2 linked regions of the Ovis aries genome follow. The protein of the gene in region 1 binds, or shares a complex with, the protein of each later gene. Links are inferred from orthologs where the notes say so. Each region holds a gene or a part of one and is shown on either strand. Other genes may lie near its edges.

Region 1 (3,746 bases):
CTTTGTACTTCATTCCCCATTTAAGCTTTACCATTACTGGCCTTCCTGTTAATCCGCTGAGGAAAGGTTTGGGGTTGAGGGGCAAACTCATCGTGACTACCGCTGCAGTAGTGGGGAAATGCTGCAGGATACTCGCCGCCGATGCAATTGCCGAGCGACCCTCGGGACTGAAGTAACCACACAGCTGCTATTCTAATTTTATAGACAAGAAAACTGGGATCAGATGAAGTTAAGACATTTAACCAAACTCACACTGTTAAGGTGGGAAAGCCCAGAGGCTGGAAACCTGGGACTTCTGACTCCAAACCCTTTGATGTTTCGAAGTCAAAACAAGAAAGTCATTCCCTGCAGGTTCTAAGTTGGAGAAGGAAATGGCAACCCACTCCAGTATTCTTGCCTGGAGAATCCCAGAGTCGGAGGAGCCTGGTGGGCTGCCGTCTGTGGGGTCACGCAGAGTCGGACACGACTGAAGCGACTTAGCAGCAGCAGCAGCAGGTTCTAAGTACAGCGTGACATGGCTTGGTCCTTCACAAAATGCCCTCTGTAAGTTCCAAGGGCAGAACTGGGTTTGTGGGGAGGGGGAGGGGCGAGTAAAAAATAATACCAAATGATGAATCAAAAGTAAAGAGATAGCCTGCGATGAGGGCCCTGAAGCTTAAGCTTCACTAGCATCAAGGTAAATTGGCCCCGCCTACCCACTAAAAAATTCGGACACACCAGATCTTGACAAGATTTTCCTCCCGGTTTGTGAAACGTGGCAGATGTGGGCTGTGGAAGTCCTGGGAAAGGACTCTCAGTTCTCCCAGGGGACAAGATAAATTACAGCAACAGCGAGGCCGTGGTGTGGGGATGGAGAAGGCTGTGTGACAGGGGAAGAGTCCAAAGGGGCCGGCGGCCCAGCTGGCAGTGCCGCTGTGGTAGGCTGGCATCCCTAGAGCCGGGGGCGATGGCGCCGCCCCGGAGCGATGGCCCAAACCGTAGGCTCGCCTGATGGAAGCAAGCGTTCTTCAGACCGTCTTCTGGCTTCCTGCGTCCAGATGAACCTTTCTCGGTGGAGGAGAGGCAGAGACAGACAACCGCAGCCGACGGCAGTGGGAGGGTAGATGGTGGTCGCGCCTAGGCCTTTCTATCTCCGGCCCGCAGGATGGTGGAGAGCGGAGGCCTACGGGAAGGCTGCCCCGCTGGGGCTCTGGCGGCGAGGCCGGGGTGCCAGGCTCCCCTCGCGGCTCCCCGCCGCCGCCGGGGGGAGGAGGGGCAGGGGGAGCAGAGCCCGCGGCCTGCTTTCCCAGGGCTGGCCAAGCCTTTTTGACAAGCTGATAGCGTGCCGGGGATTGGCTGGTCCGGGCGTGACGCCGGTTAACAACAAAGGTGGAGTTGGAAGAAATTAGATTAAAGGAGGGGGGGGGGGGTTTGGAAATTAAAGGGGGAGCAGGCTGGAGACTGGAGGCAGAGACCGAAGGGGAGATGCGCGAAGCGCGGTCTCGCGGCTCCGCTTCGCCCCGGAATCCCCTTCGCCTAAACCCACCGGGATTTTTGCTCTCAACCGACTCCCGCGGCCCAGCTACCGAAGCAGGGGTGGGACGGATGGTTGCTGCTTCTTGAAAAATGCCCCCAACTCTCACCCTGACACCCCTTTACTATGGCCCAAGGGGAGAACTCTTTGCTCGGACTCCTCGGATCCTAAACTCGGAGGAGGTGAGGGGCATTGAGAATAGCGAGAGGTTCGCTCTAAAACCCGGAAGGCCCTCGCGGGGCACCGAGAACGGACGAGGCGGGGCACTCCCCCGGTTTTCCAATGTGTTGCAAACCTAAGAGCTTTTCTTGCTTGCTTTTTTTTTTTTTTTTTGGTAACACCCTTCCCCCCCTTTTCTCTCCCCCCCACCCTGCTTTGGCTCCAGGGTTGCAAAAGCAAAGAGCAATAAAAAAAAAAAAAAAAAAAGAAAGAAACCCGCGCATACACTCAGACACACACCAGTGGCGACAGGGGAGAGTTGGAAAGACGCAGGAGAGAAGCAGGAGGCAGCGGGGAGGGAGCAATGGGAGCGGGAAGCCGGCAGGTTCCCTCGCAAATCCCCCTCCGGCCCAACGTCGCCTCGCCGGCCCCGGCAGGGGAGCGAGGAGCCGGGCGAGCAGATGGAGGAGTGGAGCTCGCTCTAGGCAGCAGGCTTGGCCGGAGAATGGAGGAGCCGCCAAGCGATCGGCTGATTGGAAGAGAAACGCAGAGCGATGGAGGCGGGGGTAGGAGGACGATTTCTCTGCGGGGACTGGCGGCGGCGTATACGCCCGGGTCGGGCGCTGCAGAGCTTGGCTAGCTTTCAACCCGCGCTCGCCGGCTCCAGCCCCACGCGCCCCCACCCCCAGCCCTCCCGGCGGCTCCGCAGGTGAGTGCGAGCTGGGGGCAAAAAGACTCGAAAGTCTCAACACGCCCGCCCTGCCAAAAGGAGGAAAAAAAAAGAAAAGCATTTTTCCTTTTCTTTTTTTTTATTTTCGTGCAGCCCCCAGCACGGTGGGAGGGAAGGGGTGAGGCTGAGTCGCCCGGAGGAGGCGGAGGGGCCAGGCGAGGCCGGGGTGGCCCGGGAGGCGGCGGCGCCGAGGCGGCTCTGACGGGCTAGCGCTCGGAGCGGCGCTGCGCTGCGCCGAGGCGGGCGGGCGGGCGGGCGGAGCGGGGCGGGCGGAGCGCGGCGCGTGGGGCTCGCCATTAGCCGTCGCTCCGCTTCGCCATCTCGGGCTTTGTCTGGCGGCTTGCTGCCCCGGCGTCGGCTGCGGCGGAGCTGCGGCTCAGCTCTTCGGCCCGCCGCACCCTTAAGGCGCCCTTGGCCCGTGCTCCCATTCACACGCTCGGTAAGTGAGCCCCGGCGCCGCGGATTTCGGGGGAGAGGGGTTTCTACGAGTGGCGGCGGCGCCGATCTCCATGCGCCCGGGCAGGCCTGGGGAGCCATGCCGGGCTGGATTGAACCAGCTCCCACAGAGGCTCCTCCGCCGACTCGTAGCTTTATCGCCGCTTGTGGGATTTAAAGAGCAAAGAAGATTTTTTTTTTCTGTTTTAATTTGCAAAGAGGACATTTTTTAGGGATTTTTTTTTTTTTCAAGTTTCGTGTGTGTGCTGCTTAGCAGCGAGGCAGGCTCCGAAGCCTGGCACGGCGATTGGCTTGCGTGCGCCCCAAGCCGGTGGCTACGCTCCGGGGATAAGGGTGGGCGCGAAATGCCCGCTCCGGGAGGCGGGCGAGTGAGCGGGTGAGGGCTGGAGTGGAAGCCCGAATCTGAGCTGGGGGAGAGAGCTCTGGAGCTGGGCTGCAAACACCCCCGGAGCCTCTCCAGCTGCCGGGGGGCCCTCCGGCACCCTCTCTGCGGTCGCGCCTCGCGCCCTCCCTCCTGCGCCGGCCGAGCCTGCTAGTTCCCCCGCGGGTCTGGCGAGGTCGCTCTCGGCGCCCGCCCGCCTCGGCTCCGAGCCCCGCCGCCATCCGGGCGGCTGCGTGTCTCCCTGCCCCGACCCCCCCCCCCCCTCCCCGGCGGCAGCAGCAGCCGCCGCCGCCGCCACCACCACCACCACCACCAGCACTACCCCCCTCCCCTCCTTCCTTCCCTCCGCCTCGGCCGCCCGGGTCCCCCCAGCTCCCGCCCCTCCTCCCAGCTGCCCCCCGCGGAGCCCGCCCGGGCAGGCTGTGGGAGGGAGCGGAGCCGGCGAGGCGGGCGGGCTGGCGCTCGCTCCCCGGGGGTCGGTGTGCGCTCTACGGGGAAGGACGCGC
Region 2 (3,746 bases), on another chromosome or scaffold:
AAAGGCAATCTTCACAGTGAGTGAAAGTATACAAAACCAGGAATCTAGACAGGTACATTAAAACTGAAGCCCCTGGTACACTGGTGCCCTTGCTGTTTTGAGAGCCACATGAGTGAACCAGAGACAAGCCTACAATGTCTGAGAGGAGATACTCAGAGTAAGTTTGAAACCTCCAAAGGGCTACACCTGTATAGAAGTGAACAAGAAAAATAATCCAACTCTGCAGAAGAGGAATTTGACAGTCTCACTAGGTAGAGAGAGAAAAAAATTTCCCTCTAGAATTTCTAACCAAAAGCTGGCCTTACATTAGATTCGCAGCACAAATCCATACTACCTATTTGCTACAAAACACATGAAGCTGAGAATTTATTTAAAGTCATTCCAGCTTGGTAGTGCTTCAAGGCACCTGAAGAGGAAACACACATGCTAAGAATATAGTTTTCCAAATTCTAAAAAATCTGAGCTTATATTAAAAAATTATACAACAAAAAAAGCACGATGAGAAAGTCTGCAGGAATAACGGCAGCATCAGATCCACAAAAACTGTGGGTATGAGAATTAGGAGACACAATATAAATATCAGGCTTAATATATTTAAATATATGTAAGAATTACAAATAATATAGGATTAAAGAATCATGAATTATTAAAAATGAGACTTGAAAAATAAGCAGAACTCAAAAAAAAAAATTTTTTTAAGTAACAATAACTGACATAAACTGAAGACAGAATTAGTGAAGCGGAAGAAAGACCAGAAGAATTTACCCAGAAGCAATATAAAGAGAAAATAGATGGAAAATTATGAAAGGGTGAGAGAAATGGAGTAGTGGGTAAAGTCTAATAAGCAACTAATTAGAACTCCAGAATGTGAGAACATAGGTAAAGGCAATATTCAATGAGACATGGCAGATAATTTTCCAAGGTTGACGGAAAAGAAAAAAAAATCAATCTTTACTTTCAGAAAGCCCAGCAAATCCTACACATGATAAACAAAAGAAAGCCACATCCAGATACACTGTAGTGAAACCACAGAACCCCAAAGACAAAGGGGAGTTCTCAAAACTATTCAGAGAATCATGTTCTTTAAAGCACCCATGACTAATTCTCATCGAAGTAAAACTACCTTGAGTACAGTGGAAGATGCAACAGTAACACCCAGATCATCAAGCAACATTAGCTTTCTGTATTTTTTTTCTTTCCTTTTAAATATCTTAAAAGGTTTAATTCACCGAGTATAAAAAGGATAAGAAAAGTGTAATTTTCTAAAATAAAAAACGACCTCAAGTTTCCCTATTACTTCAACTGTACAGAAGAGAGGGATCGGACCAAAGAACACAACTGTTTATTCAGTACAAAAAGTAAGTCACTGGATTTGTTTAGGTCGCAAACAGATTGAGAAAGGGCAGAGAGGAGGAAAAGGATACGCACTTGCAGTTGGTACAGGTGTAGAAGACAGTCTGCCCTTCATCGGCTGATCGCATCTGCCTGGTGTGGTATGCCATTCCCTCGTGCCCACATCGAGAGCAGCGCCTGTCAACCTGGAAAGCAACTGGTGGGATTAATAATCTCCCTTTCCGGTCACAGACATCAGGCTGTCACACTCCCCAGACTCTGATGTTTTAAAGACCCCTCTTCCCTCTTAAAGGACTTCCCACGTGGCACAGTGGTAAAGAATCCGCCTGCCAATGCTGGAGACGCGGGTTCCATCCCTGGCTCGGGAAGATCCCGTGGAGGAGGAAATGGCAATCCGCTCCAGTATTCTTACCTGGAAAATTCCATGGACAGAGGAGCCTGGCAGGCTACAGTCCACGGGGTCACAAAGAGTCAGACACGACTCAGCACAGCACACACCCTTCCCTCTTGGAATTAGGTACAAAACTCTCCAGATCTGTGCAATCGCCCCTCCATTTCTTTCCCACCCTCCTTTGATGGGGCCAGTCCTGGATGTCATTCACTCACCACAGGTCCCTGGAACTCAGGTCCTTCCTCCATCGACAAAGGCATGGCTGTCCCCAGTTTGTTAAACACAACTGAGGTTTTCACAACCTTCCCCTCAAAGTCTGCGCAAACAGTAAGAACTGGTTGTGGAGACAGTAAGGAGTGCTGACACCCATAACTCCCTCTCGGTTAGGACAGGAGGCCTTATATTCTTCCCTTCAGGTTTCGACCCAAGGCCAAAAGTGCCTGATTTCCTGCTTCAGGGTCCCCCTCTTCAATCCAACCGATATTAAGGTCCTCAAGCCACTGACCCTTTCACGCTGGGCCCTCTGCCGGGGTCGCTGCGTACAAGCCCCTTACCTCGCACATTGATGGAGAAGCCACAGCGGGTACAGGCGACCGCATCCTGAGCCCCGGGCAGAGGCAGGACCGAGCCGCAATCTGGACAGAAATCCAGGTCCGACTGAAAGCTGGAGCAGATGCCGGCGAGGTCCATGACGGAGGGTGGTCGAGGACTGGGAAGAAGAGGAGATTGCTAACAAACGAGAGTAGCTCCCTCCCCACTGAAGGGTCATTCCTATTCTGTCCCTGGACCTAAGCATACAGAACCCGAGTCCTTCTCCCACGTATGCCTGTGCCTCTAAGACCAAGGAGCCCACATATCCAGAATTCCAAACCGGGGTCCGGTACTTCGACTTGGGGGTTTGCTTACCTGGGACAGGCGAGAAGAGGAAGCCAACTCCGCGAGCTAGAACGCCGGCTCTACGCCGCTGCGGACTAGCGAGAGCAAGCGGGCTAGAGCGCCCTGTCGTCCGGCCTGTCGATTGGCTGTTACGTCATAATTAATCGCAAACTTGATCCCCGGAGGGAGCGGAACCTTTGAAGGAAGGTTGTAGCGCTACTTTCAGGCTGGATTTGTGATGTTGGATAAGAAAGCAGGTGATTGAAGCTGAGCCTCCGGTTGTTTTCCCCTCACTACCCAGTTCTGGGAACTACAACTTCCCCTGTTCCTGAGTTGGTTCTTTTTTTTTTTTTATTTTTATTTTTTTTCTTTTTGAGTTGGTTCTTTTAAAAAAAACAAAAACCAAAGCGAAACATTCTGGAAGTTACAGTTCTAGCGCTCCTCGGACCTCGCGATGCAAGCAAGGGCGCTCTGCAGAGCACCGCCTGGCTCGAGTGCTGGGCCCTTGGCGACGAAGAATTGATGCTTTTGAACCGTGGTATTGGAGAAGACTCTTGAGAGTTCCTTGGACAGCAAGGACATCAAAGCAGTCAAGCCTAAAGGAAATCAGTCCTGGATATTCACTGGAAGGACTGATGCTGAAGCTGAAACTCCAATACTCTGGCCATCTGATGCGAAGAACTGACTTATTTGAAAAGACCCTGATGCTGGGAAAGATTGAAGGCAGGAGGTGAAGGGGAGGACAGAGGATGAGATGGTTAGATGGCATCACCCACTCGATGGACGTGAGTTTGAGCAAGCTCCGGGAGTTGGTGATGGACAGGGAGGCCTGGCATGCTGCAGTACATGGGGTCGCAAAGAGTCGGACGCGACTGAACTAAACTGGGCCTTTGGAAGGGGTGAGTCGACCTCTTACCGGGCATGAAGTGGAAACGGTGAAGGCGGAGGAGGAATCCTAGTCACTAGGAACGAAAGGAAGCAGGGATGAAGTAGGACACTTTAGGAAGGGGCTCAAGACTTTGGAGGTAGTGGAACAGAAGAGATTGGGACTCCTTCCTCTTTAGATGCCCGTCAGATGAGGGAGGTTAGCATTAGTCAAGGGAGCAGCCTTGTGACGAAGACTGTC

What was found. Proteins that work in one complex are often made in the same cells at the same time.
Region 2: UBTF (region 1) and POLR1H share a complex: the UniProt entries of both Homo sapiens proteins name them as parts of the pol I pre-initiation complex. The link is inferred for Ovis aries from reciprocal best matches to the Homo sapiens genes UBTF and POLR1H.

The regions. Positions count from the first base shown.
Region 1 is NC_056064.1:43,774,386-43,778,131, reverse strand, and holds the start of UBTF (nucleolar transcription factor 1), read left to right. Parts: upstream 1-1,442; 5' UTR 1,443-1,695; intron 1,696-2,277; exon of another isoform or gene 2,278-2,381; intron 2,382-2,571; exon of another isoform or gene 2,572-3,746. Other genes in the region: small nuclear ribonucleoprotein F-like, read right to left, coding at 1-91. UniProt on the Homo sapiens protein: Recognizes the ribosomal RNA gene promoter and activates transcription mediated by RNA polymerase I (Pol I) through cooperative interactions with the transcription factor SL1/TIF-IB complex.
Region 2 is NC_056073.1:27,951,313-27,955,058, forward strand, and holds the start of POLR1H (DNA-directed RNA polymerase I subunit RPA12), read right to left. Parts: upstream 2,711-3,746; 5' UTR 2,651-2,710; intron 2,454-2,650; 5' UTR 2,435-2,453; coding exon 2,299-2,434; intron 2,061-2,298; coding exon 1,960-2,060; intron 1,539-1,959; coding exon 1,377-1,538; 3' UTR 1-1,376. UniProt on the Homo sapiens protein: Core component of RNA polymerase I (Pol I), a DNA-dependent RNA polymerase which synthesizes ribosomal RNA precursors using the four ribonucleoside triphosphates as substrates. Can mediate Pol I proofreading of the nascent RNA transcript.